2 linked regions of the Drosophila melanogaster genome follow. The protein of the gene in region 1 interacts with the protein of each later gene in a biochemical or structural test. Each region holds a gene or a part of one and is shown on either strand. Other genes may lie near its edges.

What was found.
Region 2: the proteins of Ubc6 (region 1) and p53 form a complex in vitro, tested with the Drosophila melanogaster proteins (one study listed by BioGRID).

The regions. Positions count from the first base shown.
Region 1 is NT_033777.3:4,946,048-4,957,500, forward strand, and holds Ubc6 (ubiquitin conjugating enzyme 6), read right to left. Parts: upstream 6,636-11,453; 5' UTR 6,450-6,635; coding exon 6,406-6,449; intron 4,706-6,405; coding exon 4,420-4,705; intron 4,358-4,419; coding exon 4,232-4,357; 3' UTR 2,708-4,231; downstream 1-2,707. Other genes in the region: Jhbp3 (juvenile hormone binding protein 3), read right to left, coding at 7,561-8,231, 8,289-8,358; Jhbp2 (juvenile hormone binding protein 2), read right to left, coding at 11,022-11,191, 11,243-11,395. UniProt on the Drosophila melanogaster protein: E2 ubiquitin-conjugating enzyme that accepts ubiquitin from the ubiquitin-activating enzyme E1 and transfers it to a E3 ubiquitin-protein ligase. Required for postreplication repair of UV-damaged DNA.
Region 2 is NT_033777.3:23,046,880-23,059,170, forward strand, and holds p53 (p53), read right to left. Parts: upstream 7,204-12,291; 5' UTR 7,130-7,203; coding exon 7,086-7,129; exon of another isoform or gene 7,027-7,085; coding exon 6,703-7,026; exon of another isoform or gene 6,516-6,702; coding exon of another isoform or gene 6,478-6,515; exon of another isoform or gene 6,321-6,477; coding exon 6,240-6,320; exon of another isoform or gene 6,170-6,239; coding exon 6,133-6,169; exon of another isoform or gene 6,070-6,132; coding exon 6,043-6,069; exon of another isoform or gene 6,037-6,042; intron 6,025-6,036; coding exon of another isoform or gene 4,810-6,024; intron 4,352-4,809; exon of another isoform or gene 4,341-4,351; coding exon of another isoform or gene 4,311-4,340; intron 4,246-4,310; coding exon 3,936-4,245; intron 3,872-3,935; coding exon 3,625-3,871; intron 3,563-3,624; coding exon 3,168-3,562; intron 3,109-3,167; coding exon 3,086-3,108; 3' UTR 2,778-3,085; downstream 1-2,777. Other genes in the region: CG17121 (uncharacterized protein), read right to left, coding at 854-1,141; Gr94a (gustatory receptor 94a), read left to right, coding at 4,810-6,024; Ctns (cystinosin), read right to left, coding at 7,644-7,749, 7,850-7,952, 8,009-8,297, 8,484-8,844, 8,910-9,092, 9,163-9,259, 9,320-9,374; sav (salvador), read right to left, coding at 12,017-12,077, 12,151-12,291.

The sequences.
Region 1 (11,453 bases):
GTATATTCACGTTGCCAAAAAGGTGCCTTTTGCGGATATGGCGCCTTTTTTTCCGCCAAATCTAAATTCATTTCACGGAGTATTGGGTTCTTTTGTTGTCAAAAGTCATTTTCCAAGTTTAAATATTTCCACGAACATAGCAAAAAACACATGGAAAGCCACTTTCATAAGGCGGCACAAGAAGCTGCTAGATTATTTCTAGAAAATGTGCTTGTGGACGCACAAATAAATAAATACCAAAACGTTATTCAGGAAAATAGAAAGATAATAACATCTATTATTTCCTATATTGTGTTTTGCGGATCCCGAGAAAATCACTACGGTGATGGAATTGTAGAGGACTTATTCAAGCTTAAAATCGACGCTGGAGACAATGTTTTAAAAAAGCATATGGAGCATGGAAAAGGAAATGCAAGCTATCGATCAGTTGAAATTCAAAATGAAATCATCAGCCTTTGTGGTGAAGTACTAAGAGAAAAAAAAAAAAAACGTTTATACAATTAGTATGCCTTCTTACTTTTTAGCGCTGCCTTCAGAATAGCATTTATTATGCGTCTCACGATAAATGCGAAATACTCGGCGATGCTGGAGCCGGTAGTCAACGTGCTTTAATCAACTACTTTGGATGCGGTCAAGGCCTATCAGCACATTAAACGCATAATACAACTGTTAAGAAGCCATCGAGATGATCCTGATAGTATAACGGATGAAGTATTAAGAGATGCAACAGTCGTTGCAGAGACAATTGTGTTGGAGGAGGATATAACATCACTTTCTCGTATATTTGGCAAGCAATGTCACCGAAAAAACCGTCCAGCTGAAAAAAGCTCAGAGTATTGGAGGAGGTCATTGTTTATTTCTTACTTGGAATCAATTATTAGCTCACTAGATAATCGGTTTTCCGATGAGAATAATGTATCATTTTTTTTATTCTATTTACATCCGGCAAAAATGCAAATAATGTCAGCAGACTCACTTATCAAAAGTAGTTTTACGATTTACCCAGCCTTCAAAATATAAGGAAACAAATGTATCTGAAATGACTGTTCTTGATACGATTCAGCACGCAAATGAATTAAATCCCGATATTCAAAGAGTTCTGAAGATGTTAATCGCTTTACCGTGTAGAACTTGTTCAGTTGAGAGGTCATTTAGCAGCTCAAGACGTATAAGGACTTGGCTGCGAAGAACAATGGTAGAAAGTCGTCTTAATGGACTGGCTTTGATGAGTGTTCGCCAACGACTAATTATGGACGATTTGGATGAATTCAATAACAGAGTTTTAAAAGAATTAAAAAAAAAACCCGGAAAGTATCGCTTTATTATGCACAGATGTCATATACACCATAAATCTGATAAATTCGAAAATATCTTAACCAAATTATGCCTCATGACATCGGGTTATCCAACGTTCGGGGTAGTCGAGGACAACTTCCACATATTTTTAAAATTATAATTCTACTATCTGACAAACCAAAACAGCTTTTTAGCAAATCAATAGAAATTTACAAGACTAATACAAATGTGAAAAAATATCAATACGTTTTTTAAAAGTGTGGGCGTGGCAATTTTGTAGGCGTGGCAACATGGGTCAACAAACTTGCGCTGCGTCTTTGTCTCTAGAATCTGTATGCTGAATCTCAACCTTCTAGCTTTTATAGTTCCTGAGATCTCGACGTTTATACGGGCAGACTGATATGGCTGGACTTACTTGATGATATAGTCGGAAACGCTTCCTCCATTTTCACTCTACGAGTAATGGGTATAAAAACGAATTAAAATAATTGTAAAAATCGAGAATAGTCACAAACTTCGTGTTTTCAACTACCCTAAACGCCTGATTAAAACAGTTATCTTTGCATATGTACATATTTATTTACGAATGTCGGGACGGCGCGAACGCCATTCCCGGCTAACAAAAATTACACGCACGAGTTATTCACATTAGGAATAATCGCAGAGGTCAACTCAGCCGAGGTACAATGGCCAAGCCTCACTCCGGAGGAACCGCCTTCGTGATCACGGTTAACCTCTACGCCAGGTAAGTATGCTTTGCTTAGCTCGGCATAGGAATTTCCATGAGGGCGCAACTAGAACTAGTTGGGAATTATTGTGGTGGGTATGAACAAAATCCCAACACTGACTTTTCTAGTGTGTTTGACTGCAGTCAGATGTAAAGCAATTTTAACACAAACTAAAATCAATTCGCTGAAGTGAATATGTAACTTGGTCCTGTACTCTGACTTTGAAACCGTGCCTGTTCACCAAATCTTTTATAAAATTAGTTGTTGAGCTTTTACTCTGAATATATAAATTTATTTATACACAGTATTATTGAAAATAAGTCCTGTTGTATTATCATAAACTTGGAGAATTATAATTCAATGGAATTTAAGGCGCACAATTTATAAATAACGGTTTGATTTTATTTTGTTTTCTTATTTTTCGGAAGAATTTTAAAATCTGCCCATGCACTCCCACTACCTGCGTGACGGATGATGATGTCGTAATGCTTCTTTTTAATTGGTTGGTACGAATTTAGGAGCACACTATAGTTGACATTTTCTTGGCAGCACTGTCACTTTCCTCCTAATTACAATTGACTTTTGGACAATTGATTTGGAGCAACCATTTTAGCTCCAACTCGACATGTTGTAAGGGGAGTATAAAATAGTTCCGTTAAAATTTAATTTAAACAAGGTGTACTCGTGTTACTTTCATTTATTGATATTGGAAATCTTAACTTTATTAATAATAATAATGTTAATTACAGTAAGGTAATTTGAAATTCCACATTGTCTGAATCGGTTGCTAATCCTCATTCTTTGATTTACTATTACTGTGAATTGAATTGGGTTACTGTCTCCTCTGCTTTAGTTGGTTCATAGTTAATAAAACAATATGCTGCTATATGGTAATTTTATCATATATATGGTTAACATGATGCTCAGAGCATCCAACACAAAGTGCCAAAAAGTGGAGGGTTTATAGCAAAAGGTACAGCAATTCGCATTCAACAAAAAACATGAATAAAAGTCGATTGTAAACGCTTAAGAACTAACTAAATCAATTGCCGCAGCCAAGACACAGTGGAACCTAGAGAGTACATAGCGTGGCAAATGGCAGTTAGGAGATGTTTTCATCCCACTTTACACTGAAAAAAGACCCCGCTCAAATCTCTTCTTGGGCCATCATAGCTGACCAAATCAGGGTGTAAACTTGAATGAGGCCAAGGATAAGATCTTAGAGATAGGGTAAAAGTAAAGCGTCGGTCAGCCACCAAAATTATCGGGCAAAATACATAGAGCATTGGTCAATGGAAGCTACCGAGGAATACATGCATATATATTTGCTTGCTTGTTCCCAACTTGGAGACTTGTACCATGTCACATACCGTGTGGATTGGTTTACATTGCTAAAAACTAACATTTAATTATCAATTTCTAGTAATTTCACAATTTGTAGCCAATAAACTTATAATTCGATCTAGGTAGCATGTGTATGTTTATGTTGGGGTTTGGTAGATACATATAGTTCACATAAATGACGACACTGGACAATTGTTTACTAGGTTTTCAAGCGGATTCAAAATGTATGTTTCTTGTGTACGTGTTTGCTGAGCCACGAACTACTACAAATATTAATTTTCGTTTAGGCATTGGTTGAGTTTAGTTTTACAGGACTGGGTTTGCGCGCATCTAAAATGAAACTATTTGACATTGCAATCGCTTGAAATGGTTTTTATAATTTTTGTTTTATTATTAAACATTATTGCCGCTGCTTTTTTAAATTAGAACATTTGAGTTTTTAGCTTATAAGAGTCTTATTTCTGGCTGCCGGCGCAACTAGCGGCTGCATCCATAGAGGACTTCCTAATTTTTTAAGTGAATTGCGTCTGCCTTCGGGATCGGGTGATCGGGCTGGGGACAAGGTGTAACTATTGGCCAAACAAATATAACTCAAAACTGCCCAGTATTTATGGGTTGCGAATTGTGTGCGCAGGGTGTATATATGCTGCTGTGCCGTGCCGTTGGCGGTGTTACAATTTCATAGCATTACAATTATCATAAATATTTCTGTTATTATTTAATTTAAACTTCTTTATGGTATTGCATATTTCTGTTACTGTAGTTTGCTGATGCTTTAAGCTGCGGTCGCCTACTAAACTGCTGCCGCTCGTTTTGTGGCTCCGGCTCCTGATGCTGCTGCTGTTCCTAAAGTGGGCGCATGGCTAATCGATGAAACTCTGCTCAACGCAGGCTTTCACACGCTTCTCGTACTCGCGCCGATTTTCTTTATACAGCTGGGCGGCGGTGGAGTTAGCCGGTGAGTTGGGATTGGGATCGCTCAGCAGTGACTGGAAATCAGAAGCATACACATTAAGCTATAGCTACTGGATCCAGAAGCAGAGTAACTCACCTGTATGGATGTTAATATGGCTGACACATCGTACGTGGGACTCCAGCGGTTCTGCAATATGTCCAAGCATATTCCACCATCTGCGTATACATTGGGATGAAATACTTTCGATACAAATCGAACCGTTGGCGGTTTGTTTGGGTACTCTTCCGTAAATTCTATGGTTAACTTAAATGTTCCGTCTTCGAAGGGTGTGTCGTGTGGACCAAAAATCACAGCATTCCATATCATAATATTATTATCTGTTGGAGCACCCGAGACACCCGTAGGTGGATCCTCTTGAAGTCTGCAGGTAAGTATCAAATTAAAGTGTTGTAAATAAATAAGTTAATGCATATTTGTTTACACAAATATACTATTTATTGTATAAATTCCAATTGAGGCGAAAATAAAAAACTCTACCTTAACATTTGCCGACTAGGTTGCAATGTAAAGCTAATAATTATTTTTTATCTTCTTGTTGTAATTGTCTTTAGTTAATGATCTTACGAACAATGTGCTTGAAACGTAAGTCTTTAATCGTCGCAAGAGTTGACGGTCCCGTGGACACCAAATTCTGCCTATTTGTATACATATTCCGCAACACAGAAGAAACCAAAAGCAACGGTCAGACATAGAGTGATGAAAAACAATCTAAAAGTTACCTGGCCGGGATTGGCTGCGATTTAGGTCAGCTAGCGGGCGGCGCAACCCGGTTAACCGCGCCCTTCAATCGGCTTAAATCGATACACGGGCCAAGTGAAATCATCGATTAAACAAGCTAAGAAACGCGACAGTGCACTGGGAAATAAGATATGCAATATCCAAGTCTGAAGCATATTTTGAAATTTATGAACTTGAAAGGTCAATTTTGGGCGGTAATACGAGCTATTAAAATAACTTGTTGAAAATGTTCATAATTTATTTATAGGTATCCAATGATGTGTAACAGGTATTTTCTAATGAACTCTTATCAAAAACTAGACTTCTAAAATGGAGTCAGTTTCGATTCGCATTACGATTTGAATATTGCATTCCTGATGAAACATTTTCGCAAAACAGAATTTGTGTTTCTCAAACTAATCAGTCCCGAGTACTCAATAACTATACTAGATTCGGACCCCACAAAGTATAAAATTGACGATGTTATTTTTTATTTTAGTTTCGAAATTTCCACTTCGAACTCGTTCTAGCTGAGTAAGGGGTATCTGATGTATGCTGTCAGATATGCTTCTGTGCAGTTGCTCTGCCTCTTGGGGTGGTACATTGGAACTTTGCCGGGGGGCAGGAGCCCGCGCCCACGCAAACAGCCTTGACATTTGGTTTCGTATTCCTCAACTGCAATCTGCACTGCAGCGCCAACTTTCGGGATGATGAAAGTTTCGAAGCCGAATGAAATTCCAATAGGAGCGCTTCGTCTCTTTCGCGTGAGTCAACAAGGCTGAGTGCGAGCGAGAGGGGGTAGCGGGCAGGATGCAGCTGCCGAGTCAGGCGGATAGAAACGTTAATGTTTTGCTGCGACGCAATTTCGGCAACGGCGGAAGAAGAATGTTGTTTGGTTTTCCCAATTTTCCCCTTTGTTTTCTTGCTTTTACCCCGCACCGCGCGCGAACACACACACATTCAGATCAAAGTCAAGTGTCAAAGACAAGCGAATTGTTGTTTTTCGCACGAGCAAAGCAGCGAAAATAATCAACCACTCACACACGCACACGCACACGAGCATGGGCACATGCACACGTACATATTTTGGCTGCGCAAACTTTTCCACTACATACAGACGTGGAGCACAGTCATATATACGTGTGTCCGTGTGTTTGCTTATATGTATTGGGCAGCCCCCAGGTTTCTTTTCCCCAGCATTTTTTCGGAACGAGAAACACGTAAAACGTAAAATCCAACGGTTGTGTGTACTTTGCCATTCGCTCCTTGCCTTCCTGTTTTCCTTTGCTTTCGTTTTGTTTGTATTCTTTTCTATTCGCATTCGATTCCTTAGTTTCTTCTCACCTTTTAAAATCTCTCATAAGACGTCTGCGTGCGGGTGTTGACATTTTTCACAGCGATACTACCACTCGTGTTGTGTTGGATTTGGAACTCGGACGCCTGGGCAATGCGTTGCGTTTAGCGAACGGTAACGATGAAATTTTGTAATTTATTTTTAATTGAGGGCAAACTCGGGCAGCAGTGGTATAGAGCTGGAACGAAAACCGATGTTTCCCCGATACTATCACGTAGAGCTGGAGCTCAAATCAATTTCGTTGCACAGAGCTGCCACCCAGCCAGCATTGAGCGTAAATATGAGTTGCCAGAGGTTGCCAGACCATTCAAAATACGTTTCCTATTGATGTTTTTTACGAATAGGAGTTTTCGAAGTGTAAGTTTAACACTGCAGAAAACTGATCGAAGTATTTGTAAACCAAAATTAATTTGAACTTTAGACAACCTGGGTCCGATTGCAGAAAAATTTTACAATTGAGCGACATGGCAAAAACAAGAGGTATTCCTCTAAAACAGGTGACTCAAGAAAAATAAGAATTCTATTGAATGTCTCCCTTTCTTTCGTCCTTGCTAAAAAAGCTAGTTACGTTTTATCATATTAAATATTAGTATAAGCAAACATAATTTTATGGTAGTTCCAATAATATTTATAAACTGAAACTACTAAAAATGAAATGAAAATCAAAACACCAGTTTTGTACCAAAGTTATGATATCTAAGAAAAGCAAGATAAAGCTTGACTATCAGATACCCGTTAATCCAACTTGGATTGCGAGGAGATGAAGATTTAGAAGCCGGAAAGCGACTCTTGACCAAATCGGCCAAAAATTTTATTGTGGGCGCGGCATACCGATACAAATCTGCAAGACTTACATACATACATATAATAAAGAAATAATCCAAACGTTTTTCAAAATCGTAATAGTTATGGGCGGCTTGTGGCCAAGCAGCTTAGCTGCTCCCGTTGATACTAAGAAACGGGTATCTGGTAGTCGGGAAACTCTCCCAACAACGATAATCAAGACATAATTTCCTTTGACGCATTCAATTTCAAATCTATTTGCGTAAATTTCTAAAATTTATTATTGAATATTTAGGGACTAATTATAACAAATCGAGTGTATCACAAGCTTAGATTTAGCCTAACTACAGTTAGCAAGATTATTAGACGGGGAAAAGCTCGCTGTAGGTGAAGTTCTCAAGGATTTTGGTCGTGATGACCAGAAACTTGGCCTCCAGGGCGCGGGCAATCGGTGCGATCAAGTCGTTGGTGAAGACCTCGAAGTTTTGGTTGATCGTATCATTGATGACATCGCCCAGAACCTTGTCTCCGTTGAAGAGGTTCTCCAGCTTCAGGTTTCCCTTGCCAGTGCGGATCTTCAGGACGAACTCCTTGACATGCAGGTATTCCAGATCATTAACACTCTTAATGTCGTACTGGACGCGCACATAAGCCACAAAGTTGGTGAAGTTTCCAGTGAACGGCCCATTGCCCTTGATCGGCAGTGCCAAAATATTGCCGTTGATCTCGTAGAGCCCATCGCCATGGAGATGGGGCAGAATCAACTCGAAGTCAAAGCGTCGGTTTTGGGTGGAAGCCCGCAGCTTGGTGATCTCAAAGTTGGAGGCGCCCAGGATGTTCAGCTTCTTGGCTTTTACCGTGAGCCCGGCGGATCCATCCAGAATGCTCAGATCTCCAATGTAGAGGGGCTCTAGCGGCGGTACGTTCAGTTCCTTAATGCCCTTGGCCAGATAGGGTCGCAAGTTGTGAACACTGCTCTTCAGGCACTTCGACAGTTCGGGATCGTTGCGATGGCACACCTGGATATAGTCAGCTGAAGAACAAGCTTGATAAGTATACTGGACTATAGTGAACTGTCTTCGTTACTTACGCATATTGCCAGCTGAGATGCATGCTACAAAACAGATCAACAGGGAGGCTACGATGAGTTGGAACTGCATTTTGCGTGTAAGTTTCAATTGGTTTCTGTAAAAAACAGTTTATTTACTATTAGGCAGAAATATACATTTTATTGACGTCAAAGTTCGTCAGCAGGGGCAGCATTAACCACCAGGCCCACCCCTAAAATGATCCACCACCCATACGAGTATCTATTATCATCCGAAGTGGTTGATTGTAGGCATTACGCAGCTGCGACTCAGTCTAATAAATGGGAGGATCTCTAGACTGCTCAATTACTGTCATTTGCTACCTGTTTTGTTGTCAAGACTGTAATTGATTTTGATTGCGGCTTAATAGTCTTTGCGATCGAGCGTAGGGCTGGTTATAAATAATGCAAAGGAGTACTTTAGGTATTGAACTGGAATGCATTTGGTAAAGCACAATAATACAATAAACTGGGTCAATTTGCTCTAATGAAAACATTTTTAATTGCTCGATCTGGGTTCCTTGAATAAATTAAAACTAAAATAGACACCTATGTGTAAGGAATTATTGTAAATTAAGAACGGAACAACGAGTTGATAACTAAAGGAAAACAATTTTTGTCGTAAATAAAAAACATGTAAAAAAAATGTATTCAAATTAAATTCGGTTTAGACTCAATCCTTAAAGGATTTGCTAAATGGTTTACCCAATTAGGGACAAGGGATGATTTCGCGTTCCCGAGATCTAGAGGATTCGCCAGCCGACTTACACAAAAACTTAAAATTACACAATTTAGAAGAGTTTTCAATTGTATTCGCAATTATTTGTTTTGGCACCGATTTGTTATCTTTTTCCAAATAGTCGAAGGCTTCTCAACGTTCTCGAGCTGTCGAAGTCAGGTGTTGTTTTAGTAACCGCCAACGGATCGTACTGAATGCTAAATTGTTAAGACCGGCGTGTTTTATAGCAAAACTGACGCTACGATTTACATGAGAGCTTGGGCAAGCTGTGGACTCCAAAACACACGACGTAGAACTCGCACGCCCCTGCCACGCCCCCTCCCCCAGAAATCGCCTGGTAAGCTCGAGCAACTAGAAAGAGATGGACAGCTGAGAGCGAGAGGGAGAGAGAGAGAGAGAGAGCTACTGAGGGCGAGCAAGACGCTAAGCAGCTACTATTTAATAATTGTAATAAAGGTTGTGGGTTCCATTACCGTATTTCGGCGACCAACCCAAGCACAAACGCTTACGGAGTCAGTCGAGCGGGAAAATTGCCAGTTGGTCGGGAAAATGCAGACCGCAGGTCAAACCGGAAATTGAGACCCGAAGTGGATCTCCCAGAATCGGCACTGGGAAATTGAGGGTGCAAGTCGCTACTTCGTACTATGACGCTATGAATAACTGAGTCTTCTGAGAATGTATTCAACTTCTTTAGGCTCCTCCAACGTATTTCGATTCGAAATGGGTACTGGCCAAATGAGGGCTTCAGCCTTCATACTACTCCTACATGCAACTTAAGCTTGCCTGGCAGAGCGGAGCATACACATGTGTTGAATGCAGCATATGAGGCCGAACTAAACAAAACTCTCGACCTTTTCAAAGGGGTTTTCTTCCGAGTGTGGGGTCGGTAGTTAGCGAGGGTCAGAACGTGCGGTTGTTAAGCTCCCCACCAAAACCAGGGGCAGGCACGGGGCCAGGAAGATCGTTCTAGTCGCTACCGTGCCCGGCGTAATTACGCCACGCGAACATCTTAGATGGGGAGTCGTGTGTTGACAACCTGTTAACTCTGAAAATTGTGCTGACGGATTGCATAATGGCGATCGCCGGGCGAAAAGCTTTCCCTGTCTTCAGATCAGCGAAGATTCAGAAAGCTGTGGCTGGTTGCCTATGACACGGTTCGATGAGGATGCTGATTGCGGTGCAAAATTGGCGAAGAGCACGCAACTCGGTAGCCAGCCAAAGATCATCTTCCAGCCTCATCCCAGTGATACTCGTAGCTGCGTTAGATAAGTGAGGAGTGCTGAGATGTTTGTTACTCATTCATAGTTTATTATTCAATCGGATGTGGTAAGCTTCGCGTTGGGCATAGAGATTTGTTCTGCCGGGCATTTGGGTATTCATCGCGCACGTGTAGGCGTTTTGATGGATAATCGAGGGGGAGTGTGTGTTAAGCCGTTTGCATAACACTTATATCCAAAAGGAGGAATATTGAGAATACATTCGTGGTTAGCCAGAGGCAAGGAGATTGCTTAAAGACGGGAACATAAAATATTGAAAAGGAAGTTATAATGTAATTATGTCCACCACTGTTCAGTTGTGAGCACCTGAGTACCTCGACCATCAAGGGATGGAGGCATGTTTTTTTTCCACTTTTTAAAGAATGATAACATTTGACGTGCAGACAAATACTAGTAAGCTAAACCATATCCCATGTATGCTAATACAACATAGTTACTCCTCAAGTAACAGGCATTTAAAACCATCAAGACCACATCCTGTTTCATTCGAATCTTTTACCAAGATTCCTCATTCAATCATTCAAAGACCTTGAACTAGCGTTGAAAGCCTAAGCATGCGAAGGCAGTTAAGGTGCACATTATAATAACTCGTATCCCCCTGTCATTGCAGTATTGATGGGCCGAATGAGCCATTCAAAGTAAGAGCCATCGTCGATTTACTTGGTATATTTCGCGGAACTGTGTGCAATAAATAAGGTCTTAGACTAGAGAAACTACATTCTAATTCAGGTTGATCCACTCGTCCAGCGGAATCTTGGCGAATATGCGATCCATGAAGTTGCGGATGACCAGAGTGAGTTTGGTCCTGAGCGCCGGCTTCATTTCCTTGAGCAGCTCCTGGGAGTTGGAGTTGATGAACAGATTGAGAGCAGCCTCTGTGGAGGACAGTACTATGTGACGATAACAATACAAAACATAGTATTTCGACTACTACTACGTACGTATCACTGTGTTGCCATTGGCGATGTTGTCCACACCCATTTGGATCTCCTTCACGTTGAAGTCCATCTTGACGGAGTCCGTCGTCAGGTAGGTGCGACCGTCGGGACCCTCATTGGCCACCGCCTTGAAGTAGATCTTGGCCTTAACTCCCTCTGCGTGATCGAGAGTCATTAGCAGTGCGTCATCCCAGCCCAGAAACCCGGTACCCAC
Region 2 (12,291 bases), about 18 Mb from region 1:
ACACGCCCACTATAAAAAGCCTGAAAAGCATGCTAATGGGTTCCGAATTCGATCAGGTTCTTTACGATATGGAGCATCGGCAGCGGCATCATCACTTGACCTTGTCCAGTGGCATTGGCGCCCATTGGCAATTGACTTCTCCATAATTCGACGCCCCAAGATGCATATGTGATTATTGGAGCGCGATATGGTTGCCATGAGCACGATTTCAGCTGGAGATTCACTTTGATTGCAGCGCTTACAGCGAAATTATGTCACATTAACTGTCCGTGGCACCAAAGACGCGGCTCTGTGGACACAACTAAACAATTGGCCAACAACTAACCAAGCTGGGCACCAAACGCATAAATATTTACATTAATAACACAGTACTAAGCGATCGACCGCACCCTAATGGCAGTGACATCAAAAAAAAAAAAAAGAGGAGAAATAAAAAGCAAAGAAAAGCGGGAAAGGGGAAAAGGTGGGTGAGCCAAAGGTGGGCGTGGTGGAAACCCGGAGGCAGCCACTGGAAAAGGAAAGTGCGTGACGTTTCTGGTTGGCTAAGTAGTCGTCAGATACAAGATCACTTAGAAGCGGATACTGGGAAAACAAATTCACATGAAGCCAACGATTAAAGTATACCATTACCAATTTCTTTACGAAGTATCTGAACCTAATTTGGTACCCAAAGATGTATCTAAACACAGACATATATCTCTTTTTTAATGTCAGTACTTAACATGAAATGCGACTGCATTTTCTAAGTGCATCCATGTCTGATGTGCATCTGACTAGCCTTATTAATGGCTCATTTGCCAGACGCTCATTGCAGCCATTTGTTAGCCCCAATGGGCACTCGAATGCAACTCACCAGTGCCACCTTGCCACTGACATCCTTCTCCTTGAGTCCCAGCGCGAATAGGTAATCCAACAGGTGCTTGAGAAAGACGGCCAGCAGGACCAGAGGCAGGAGGAGCAGAAAGACGATGACTTTCAGATTGAAGATGGCCCGGGTGGTCTCATCGTTGCGATGCGCCTGCGCGGCCGCCTGTGTCGCGGTGGGCGTGGCCGAGGCAGTGGGTCCTGTTACCGTTACTGCACCAGCCGGAACGGCGGTGGTGGTGCGGGTTATGGTCGTTGTCGTTGCCGTCTCCACCATCACTCACAGCTTGTTGCACCCACAATTGGCTAATATGTGATATGAGATATATGTATCTGTATCTCAAATATCTCTGTTTTTAGCCCAGAAATTTTCGCGGTCAAAGCAAATATGGCACTCGCGGCGACTCCAAAACAGCTGCAGCGCGTCGAAGATCAGGCAGCAGACTAAAAACGCCAACAAGCGACTGCGAATGCCAAACTACGTGTACAAGCTTTCGACTCTATAGCAGTATTTCCCCCCATTGAGTGAAGATCGCCAGCCGCTCGACGCTATCTGGTTTTCGTATCTACGAGCTGCAGATTTGAGTGGGCAGCGGTAGCACCTTTGAGTGGAAGCGCCGAGTCGCGAGTGAAGCTACTGCGTTTCACCTGACGTCTTAGCCCGGCTTTCTGTGGTTGTTTCCTTTTTTTGTTGTTTTTTATGTGTTTGGGCCATATTGTTTTCCCCACGCGCACAGTGGGAACTGCGGATGAAGATCGTAGCCGATAAGAGCCCAGCCGTGTTTGCTTTCCCTTTATCTGGTCCGTAAAGATGGGGTATCTGCCAGTTTAAAATGATAAACAACTGCTTGAATATAGTATGAGTCTTAATATCTTCCCGAAATAATTATGTAAATTATGAGTCACTGCCTCCCAGTGTGCGCCACTTTCGAATTGTCAACCTTTTGGCACCCGCCAATCAAAGAAACGTATTTAATTGGGCTTCTAAGGCGATTGCATCGCTTGGGAAAAGTGCACTGAAAAAAATATATACTGAAGTATATACAGCTGTGCTTATTCTGAGAAGTGGGTGATATTTAATTTTAGTGGATTTTATTTTTACAACTTTTGTTATCAGAATGACTTGTTTGGAAACCTCGAATAAATAATTAAACAAATTATGATACATTTATATTTGTTCTTTGTGCTTTAAGTATTACAGATATGTTTGCGTACTTTATTATTCTGTTACACAAAGCCGCATGTATGTTCCCAGTGCAGAAAGGTCTCTCGAACTCAACTCGTATCCAAAACCACTTTTCTGTGCGCTCGTCCAACGAGAATTGAGTGAGTTGCTCCGCTGGGTTTTGAGCACTTTGAACGACCCATTTTCGTGGTGCCAAACTGGTAGTGGAAGTGGCAGCCGGTCGAAGAAGGACAGGCCCCAAATGGAAGTGAGTGCATCCGCTTTGGCTGAATTTTTGGACACAGAGGCTATCATTCCGTTACGATTAGGGCGCACTTAATGCCCCTGCCCTAGGTCAATGAACAGCGATCGGTGGGCTAGAGTAAACATTTAGCTGCCGCATGTGGCAAAAGCTAAAGTCGCCTGCAGCTGCAGCGGCACAGTGTCAACATCTGGTGTTTGTTGCACTTTTTTGCATCCTCGCACATGTGCAACGCTGGCGCAACGCATGCGCCCTGCTTGAGGTTGTTTTTTTTTTTTTGAAAGCATAGAACTAAAACCAAAGACGTGCAGATACGGGTATAAATAAAGTATGTAAATGCGACGCAGCAATTTTGACATATTAGCAGCTAGCTAGCTGAGTTGCATCCTGAGTGCATTGACCGCACACAAGCCACACATGTCACATAGCATGTGCTCCACGGTGGGGGTACAGTAGGCTCTGGGCATTGGCGTACACCACGAGGATATGTTTGCAAAATATGACAACTCTTTAATAAATTCACTTTTGGCTTTTTTGTACAGAGTATGTTTGTTGTGGTAGACAAAAGTTACGTAGTCACATAGAACTGCAGTTAACAACAGTATACTATCAAAAATATAAAAATGTTTTCTTTTCGGCCATCGAACATGCCAAAAGGGGAATATCACCGTTAAACGCCTTACGAACAAGGACTAATACAAACTTAAGATACTAATAGCTATGTAGTATACCCCACAGATGCAACACATTTCAAAGGTATCTGATACCTGGGAGATTGTCGACCAGATCAGAAGTCATGGCAGCTCGTAGGCACGTTCTGAAAGGAAAGTTCGGTAAGTAAAGCTTAATCTCTTTGTCCTCCGATTCACTGCTTACTCTTAAGGCTCAGCAATTTGTTGGCATGGCGACGTAGATTCTCTTGGTTGGGATTGCGCAGGACTTCAGCCGCCGCCTCCTTAATCATGCCCTCGATGCTCTGCAGCAGCCATTCCTTATTGGGGCACGTAATAGCCAGACGGTAATCGCCATCCGGTGTCCGCGACACGTTCCACTCTGCGGCGGAGTCGTCGCAGTCTCGGCTATCATTGCTCTCCGTGTCCTCCGTCTTTATAGCAATGCACCGACGCACCTTGGACGGCTCATCTTCTTCGGCGGCTTCCGGCACGGACTTGCGCTTCTTGCTATTGAGCTGGCGTTCGTCTTGGATGCGATCCCGCTTGGGGCACGTACATATTTTAACATGTATAACATGCTGTCCCACGATATCGCCGCTGCAAGAAAGAAAACACGTTAAGCTTTGTTCTAGCCATCTAGAGTTTTGCTGTCACCTTACCATGCTTTCTCCAGGCAGAAGACTAAGGAAGTTTCTTTTCGCCCGATACACGAGTTTTGGCAGACGAACTTGAAGGCCAGGGTCTGGCGCGTGAGCCCACTGCGGGTTACAGACCGGCTCATGTTCAGGGGGACTACAACGGAAAAACGCTCGGAAATTCCCTTGCCCTGAGCATTTCCACAATATACACTGTTGGGATTCTCGCTGCGCAGCAAGCTCTCGCGCATTTTTGCGTTATTGGCCGTCACTAAAGGTTTGTACAAATGATAGTTAAATAATCCTGTTCGATCTGTATTGTTATCTTCACTTACAAGGCTCAACGCTAAGGTGATTTTGACAGCGGACCACGGGAGCACTCACATCATTGGAGAAGCAAAGGAACACACGCAAATTAAGTGGTTGGATGGGCATTTTAGACTTGAACTGAACGTCCACGTTGAAGGCCTTGTTCATCCGGATGTAGAGCTTGTTCAGCGGAATCGAGTACATCCAAAGAGACTTGGGCGGCTCATCCAGAACCATGCTGAAGCAATAACCACCGATGTTGTGATTCTCTAGCTTGGGCAGCGTGTTCGCCTGGATCTGAATGTCCTGCAGCATCATTTCGCGCAGCACGGATTGCTGTAAGCAAAAACAAGATATTATTTGAATGTCAACTTAACTCGCAATCATATAAGGGTTCACACTTTGCGCTCATAGAGCTGATAGAGCTTCATGTTCCAGCTTGCTCGAGTTACAAATGGACTGGCGATTTGTTTTGTATTCTATTCTATTTTTCACAAGTGCTTGAAATTCTCGCTAAACGATGACGACGGGAAGGAGTGCACCGTGCTAATCGGCTAGATAAGAGTGTTTTGTTCTGTCCTCCAACTGAAAGTGAACTTCGAAGCGACTTTGACGTCATGTCGCTCTTATGAAATTGCAGGCAGCGGCTGAGTCACGCAAGGAATGCCGCTTCCCTCACGCTTCTTATGCTCTTTTGTTTGTGGCTAGTAGTAGCACAACGCATGCTCAGTTGGTTTCTGGACGGCCGGTGAAATACATGCGTTTCGCGATGTGTCCCGATAGTGTCCGGCTACTTGACAGGTCCTCTAGATGGCATCAGTTGGGTAGTTGGAAAACAATTAAGCAGATATTAATGCTGTGGAAAGTGCGCTCACAGTTTGTATTAATTGTTCGAGAGAAATGGACTTCACCAGCGACTACGCGCATCGGCGTATGGTGAAATTTCTGACGATCATACTGATAGGCTTTATGACCGTCTTCGGACTCCTGGCCAATCGATATCGGGCGGGCCGTCGTGAAAGATTCCGCTTCTCAAAGGCAAATCTGGCCTTTGCTTCGCTGTGGGCAATTGCATTCAGCTTGGTTTACGGGCGGCAAATCTACAAGGAGTACCAGGAGGGTCAGATCAACCTGAAGGACGCCACCACTCTGTACAGCTATATGAACATTACGGTGGCTGTTATTAACTATGTGTCGCAAATGATAATCAGTGACCATGTGGCCAAGGTGTTGAGCAAAGTGCCCTTCTTTGATACCCTAAAAGAATTCCGTCTGGACAGCAGGTCGCTGTACATATCCATCGTTTTGGCTCTGGTCAAGACCGTGGCTTTTCCTCTAACAATTGAAGTGGCTTTCATACTGCAACAGAGGCGGCAGCATCCCGAGATGAGCTTGATCTGGACCTTGTACCGGCTGTTTCCCTTAATTATTTCGAATTTTCTCAATAACTGCTACTTTGGCGCAATGGTGGTGGTGAAGGAGATTCTGTACGCTCTGAACAGACGGCTGGAAGCGCAGCTGCAGGAGGTGAATCTGCTGCAGAGGAAGGACCAGCTAAAGTTGTACACTAAATACTACCGCATGCAGCGATTTTGCGCCTTGGCGGATGAACTCGACCAGCTGGCGTATCGCTATAGGTTGATATATGTGCATTCGGGAAAGTATCTGACCCCAATGTCCTTGTCCATGATTCTGTCGCTCATATGCCACCTGCTCGGAATAACGGTGGGTTTCTACAGTCTGTACTATGCCATAGCGGACACCTTAATCATGGGCAAGCCGTACGATGGTCTTGGATCGCTGATCAATCTGGTTTTCCTCTCCATCTCGCTGGCGGAGATCACATTGCTCACGCATTTGTGCAACCACCTATTGGTGGCCACCCGAAGATCGGCAGTCATTCTCCAGGAGATGAATCTCCAGCATGCGGACAGCCGCTACCGTCAGGCAGTCCACGGCTTTACTCTGCTGGTCACGGTGACCAAGTACCAAATTAAACCCTTGGGCTTGTACGAGCTGGACATGCGACTGATCAGCAATGTCTTCTCGGCGGTGGCCAGCTTCCTGCTGATCCTCGTGCAGGCCGATCTGTCCCAGCGCTTCAAGATGCAATAGCTAATCGATGTTACCCACCTGGCTGAACTGCATCAGATTCCCGGACTGCGGGGAATAATATTAAATAGTTAGTAAGCTATAGCTTTGCACATTAAAAGCACAACTCACGTTTAATCCCTGCAAGAAGGCCATGGGTTCCGTGGTCCTGGAATAATAAAAACAATAATAGTTAGCAACCAGGCAAACCACATGTGACCACGTGACCAGGTACTCACAATTCCGATCCCGATACCTCCACCGTTTTCGGAATATCCTCCTTGATATCGACCTCCGTGGAGTCATCCTCGGAATCAGTGCTAAAGTGTAAAAGGGAAATAAAAACTTAGTGGCAAACTGCGCCTTGGCTGGATAAACAAACACAAACAAGTTGGCCGCGCGAATGATGCAAGTACAAGCGTGTTGCTACATGCAAGGTTTCTACTGTTCGATCATCAATTTGTTGCCGCACTGTACCTTTCTTTGTGCCACGACATTGGCTGTGATATATACATCTTAGTCGGCTATATCTGATCAAGCGATCTTGTTGGGGAAGGAGGCTAAATATTAAAAATTCGCTAACAAAAAACTACAGAATCGTAGTGGCCACCGACTATTTGGATTTTGCCATTCGCCACGCAGCGCGAACAATCGCCGTAGCCAATGTTTATCGATTGGAGCGCGTGTTTTGAATTTGCTCACCCCTTGTGGCAGACGAATTTGTTGCATGCATTAATTTTGTTATTGCCATCGGAATTATTGTTGGCCAAAATTTCCAGATTGTTCGTGAACTGCATCATGTTGTTCGTGTTGTTGCCTCCGTAGGCTGGATCCACAGGCGTAGCCAGGTGGGCATATTCGTTGGATTCGTTGCCAAAACTCTGCGGCAAGTTGAAAGCTCCGTTGCTGGAGACCCGAACTGCTGACTCTGCAGAAACTTCGTTGCCGATATCCCAAAAATCCAGGAACTCCTTGAAAGCTTCAAAAATTGTGCGACTATTGCTACGCGAAACAATCGAAGTGTTTCTGCAAAAAGGCGCAACATTATTTTGTTGGGTAAGACCGAATAAAATATCTCCGCTCACTGGTTAAAAGTCAAGCTAAACGACGCGGACTTGTGAAGACTCATGGCTGTGCACTCAAATAAATAAATTTTATTTAGCAGTTGCGATTTGTGTCCGCAAGAATCTTCCGTGCTCCAGGGATGTCAACTAACCGGAAATTGGCTAACTTAATGTCATATATCCATGGCTATCGATAAGCTATCGATAAGGATTTGGCCGAGTGCGAACAGTGCTGCCCATTGTGCGGCAAGTTAGAATTTCTGTTTTGAAATTTTTTCAATACTTCAATCTATTTATTAGTTTGCAAATAACGCGCCGTATGCAGCAAATTGGTTTCACTGCACAGCCCTTTGAATGGTCGAGCAATGTACCGTATGATTTCTGGCTCCTACAAAAAATTAAGTTTTATTTAATGGTGAAATTCCAAATTTTAGTCAAACTAAATTTCAATTAAAACGCACGAATTATACAAAGCTTAGGCAGCTACGGCATACGGATATATTTACAATTCTAAAAATGTACATAAAGCGCTACTGGCACAAAAGTCTTTCTCTACAGCAGACATATGATAATGCAGCTCTAATATTTCTCAGTCGTCACTTCGCTCGGCGGCGGCGACTCATTTGTTCGATTTTGAACATCGGTCACGGTGGTGAGGTCAGAGCTCGAGGATTCCCTCGAATGCCTGGGGAGAAATGGAAAACAGCACAGCAATAATGATAAGTGTACAGTGGAGATGACATAATCGTAGATTAAGTATCATATTCACACAATGTTTCAATCACCTGTAAAACACATAGTGCTGCAGCATGAAGAACACATCGAAGAGCACGGAAAACAGACCCAGTCCGAATTTGGTGGGATCACCGAAAATCGACACCCAATCATCTGGAAACCAGACACGATTTCATTCGAAAATCACAAATTGATAGACTATATCCTACCGTAATTATGAGCATTCAGAATCATTTGCAGCATGCTCAGCGTTCCTCCCGTGAAATCCAGCAGAATGTTGCCGATGCTCCAGCCGGAGGTGCTCTTCCGGCGATAGTTCATCAGAGCTTGCGGCACGTACTTGATGATGGTAATGGTTAGCTTGACGTAACTGCAGTAGTACAGAAAGTCCAGCCAATGGATGACGGATCCTCCGGCCAAACCGGCAGACACGACGACCACCACGGCGAAGATGGCCAATATTCCGTAGGCAATGAACGACACCCTTTGCTGTGCTCTCTGGACAAATTTAACAAAGTATGGATGTTTTACAAGTCAAAACCTTATCTACTCTTCATATCGTAACTATCCGCTGTGATTCAAATGATTTGGCATTTTGATTGATGGCAATTAGTGTTCAATGCGACAACTGTTGCCACTTCGGCGATAAGGCTATTGAATGGTATTTGCTATATATATTATTACCTGATAGAAAAAGCACTGAAGGATCGTAATGCAGGTGGCGAACATGGCATGCAGTGAGAAGACCACGTCGTTGAGCATCACAGGATTCACTCCCAGCGGATATCGCACCTCGTACTCGTTCTGCAGATCCTCGATGAAATAGAGGCCGCAGTTGAACATGCTGTACAGGGTGAAGCCCACGATATTGAGGGCCAGGAAATCAAAGTTCAGTCCCTCGACGGACTTGCGGCGATAGTTGCTCCAGATCTGCGGATAGAAGGACACCGACCAGGCCACAAAGTAAACCCAGCCAAAGATGATGGAGGTGTAGATCAAAGCTCTCGATTTGGCCACAGTCACGCGTACGAACACATCCTTCACACTGGAAAATAAGTGAATTTTCCAATTAGGTACGGGAACAGTTGGGATTCCCGTGAAGTTACTCACATCTCTTTGTTCGCATCATCGCTATCTGCGACCACTTTGACGTTGCCGGCTTTGAGGCCAGTTATCACCACCGACTGATTTCGAGTACTGCCCGCTGGATACACAAACGTTGCGGGATCGAGGAGCAAATGATCCTCCGAATCTGTTCCCAGCGCAACTTCCACGTCGCTGTCTAGCAATCCGCTGTAATGGGCACAATAGATTTACGATGCCATATGTTTTGGATTTGGATTTCCCGGCAATGGCAACTCACTTGGCGAACACCAGAAAAGTCTCGTTGCTGTTCAGCAGAACGGTGATGTCATGGGAATCGACGGTGAGCTGACTGCTTTGGGCATTTCCCAGGGCAACTGTGGGCAGGAGAAATTCCCTCATTATTAGATCGCAATATCTGGATTGCGATATCTCACCTGTGGCCAGGAGGAGGAGCAGCAAAGTGGTCAGGCGGTGTGTGCTGAAATCCATTCTGCTTGCGTTCAACGTTCAACTTATTCATGCATGAGCATCCAGTCCTGCTGGCATCTTCTTCAATGAAGCCCTATATGGTATTGTATTGATTCAATTGTGAATTACTTCAATTGACCAATTGACCACGATCGGGTGAAATTGATATCTACTCGTAGGAGTATGGAATGCAATTCCTGACACCTTTTTTTTTTTTGCTTCTTAATTTAATGACCCGTGCAGACACTCAATCAATAAGGAATATAATATGATATAAAATGATATAAACATAAAACTATTTGTTCCAAAAAAAAAACTTGCAGTGCAAACTACGCACGCTCGCTTCATCTGGAATTCGTGTGTGTTTTTGTCGAGATAAAAGTCGGTAACCTTCATCAAATGTCGCTCAATGTTACAACTTTGCAATTGGAGCACACTTTCCCACGGCAAGCGTTGGAGCACCCATTTTATGTGCCTATATGGCCCAAATGGACGTAACAGGAAATACATGGGCTTTGTCGGTCGATCGTAAAACCAAAAGATTCCCGATTGTTCATACTATATTTTTTATATGGCGAGGGCCGTGACTTGGCGATTGCCAAGAAGTGTAAAACACCGCGTGAGAACGGGCTTATCTCAATCAATGGAGCTAGCTGATAGTGTCCGTCGAATTATTGCGGCAGTCTGCCACAAGTTGCAGATAATCAATAGATTGGGCAATGCACTGCGATTGCAATACTAATCGCAAGTCACGATCCAAATTTTGGTTCTACATAAATCAAAACTAATGAGAGTGGTAAACTACAAGGGTAATTTAAAGTTCGAACACCATATCTTTCACGATCGTTCACACGAATCTTCATGTTTCAACTGATATGCACCATAAGTTATTCACTAATTCTGTTTCAATTCTGGTGATAGATAAGACGATTGATTGGTAAAAAGGTCCATTGTTAGTTAACAGTAACACCCATTTATTCATTCATGATTCCACGCACGAGATACGCTTGTTGTGCGTCTGTTTGAGCCGGATTAGAACTTTCACTGGCATGTGGGCAAGCAGAGGCTTTTAGCCGCCAACTGCTAACGCAAAACATCTGTATAAGCCGCCGGATTATTGTGATTAAGATAATGCGGATTAGAACAGTTGTTTGCCTATGCTATATGCATGATCGCCACCCAACACATCAATTCACTCACGTTAAGAATGAAGTTAAATAATGTGTCCCAACTGACGATTGAGCGACTGCCGATGGCTACAAGTGGAATGGAATGCTATGATGATGGCTGCGATGGCGACTCTCCAGTGCGACTGAGTGCGCGATCCAATGGATCCGTTTAAATATTGGAGCGATGGAGTCGACGTCGACTGCGGCAGCGGCAGCGACGCACCAGCGGCAGCAGCAACAACAAGTGGGGCGAGAGCGGACCGCCGACGTATCTTGGCTTTTTATTATACATTATTTTTGCACTTGAGAACCCGGCGGCCGAAAAGGTGGGCACTTCAGTCGGGAACAGTTAAATATTTTGACAAGACGAGTAGTTCTCAAAACAAAAAAAAAAAAAACACTTTTTTTTCAAATTCAAATTTCAAAAAAAATATGCTAAAATGTATCTGTGGGATAAGCAATGAATGGAAATGTATCTACGGGATAAGCTATGAATTGAAATGTATCTGTAGGATAAGCTATGAATTGAAAAGTATCTGTGGGACAAACGAACTTGTATCTCACAGTACAAAGTAATCATACCAAACCCCTAAATATATATTATTAGTCAATAATATCCATCGAGTCATATTTTCTGTTTACTTATCAATTTAGCAAAAGATATGACAAATGTAATTACAATCTAAAACTCTCGTTTTATGTATCCTGTTTAATATGTTCAAAATATAATAAAACACAACTTTTGGCCTTTCCAATGCCGAATACTCCCCAGACTTCGAAAACTTCTTATCAGCAGTAGAAACTGTTTTTGAGGGACCTGCAGAAACAGTGACTATAAAGTTTTATAAGCATTCGATAAGAGGCGACTGAATGAATTATCAGGTTCGACTAAAAATAAGCATAGCCAAACGAAAACAAACATAAGATTCACTTTCTATTGGAGCGCTGTTTTTTTTTTTGCCAATACAGAATCGGCCACGATTCACTTGTGCCCAATGCATAATTTTTGCAAGCGAATCGAAAACTTGGCATGGAACTCGGAAATATGTGCCAAGCCAAGTCGAGTAAGACTTGGCCACCAACTGTTGCCCTTTATTTACACTTCGCGGCGCTGAATTTCCAAAACATCCGTCGATGAATCGGACTCCCAGGTTAAATACCTGTGGGGTTTCAGGTGGCACATCGATTACAATTGCGCTCGGCAGGTAAGATGATCAGTAAACCAGTTTAATTTTCTTTGCTCACATTACAAACAAACGCCAAGCTCAAATCACATTAAGGTTATATAGAACGTAGCACAATTCTACGTTTCATCAAGGCATTCGAACTGTCATGGATCTGCTTGGCTACCATCTCGTCTGGTTTCGTATAAGGCACTGATTTCGCGATGAGTCGATGGTTAAATAAGTTAAAGGTCGATTACAGGAGCACTATGATGTGCATATAGCTGCTGGCGAGTATGTGGTCTGAGTCAGTCGTCACCTGGTCACCGGGTCACTGGTTTTGGTTCTGGTTCTGGCCGGCGCGTCGATTCTTCTCGAGTATCAAAGCGCGACTGAAAGGTGTAACAAGAGAGTAGTGGCTTTTCGGAGAGCGGAGAATGCAGCGGCATGTGGCCGCTCACTTACCGGTAGCGCTCGTAGAAGCCCACGATGGTGCCCAGTTCCTGCTTGAAGAGCCGCACCAGCATGCTGTCGAAGCCCTCCAGCTCCGGCAGGCTAAACATGTTGAACTGCAGCAGGTGGTCCTTGGACGAGTCCGCCTCCGAG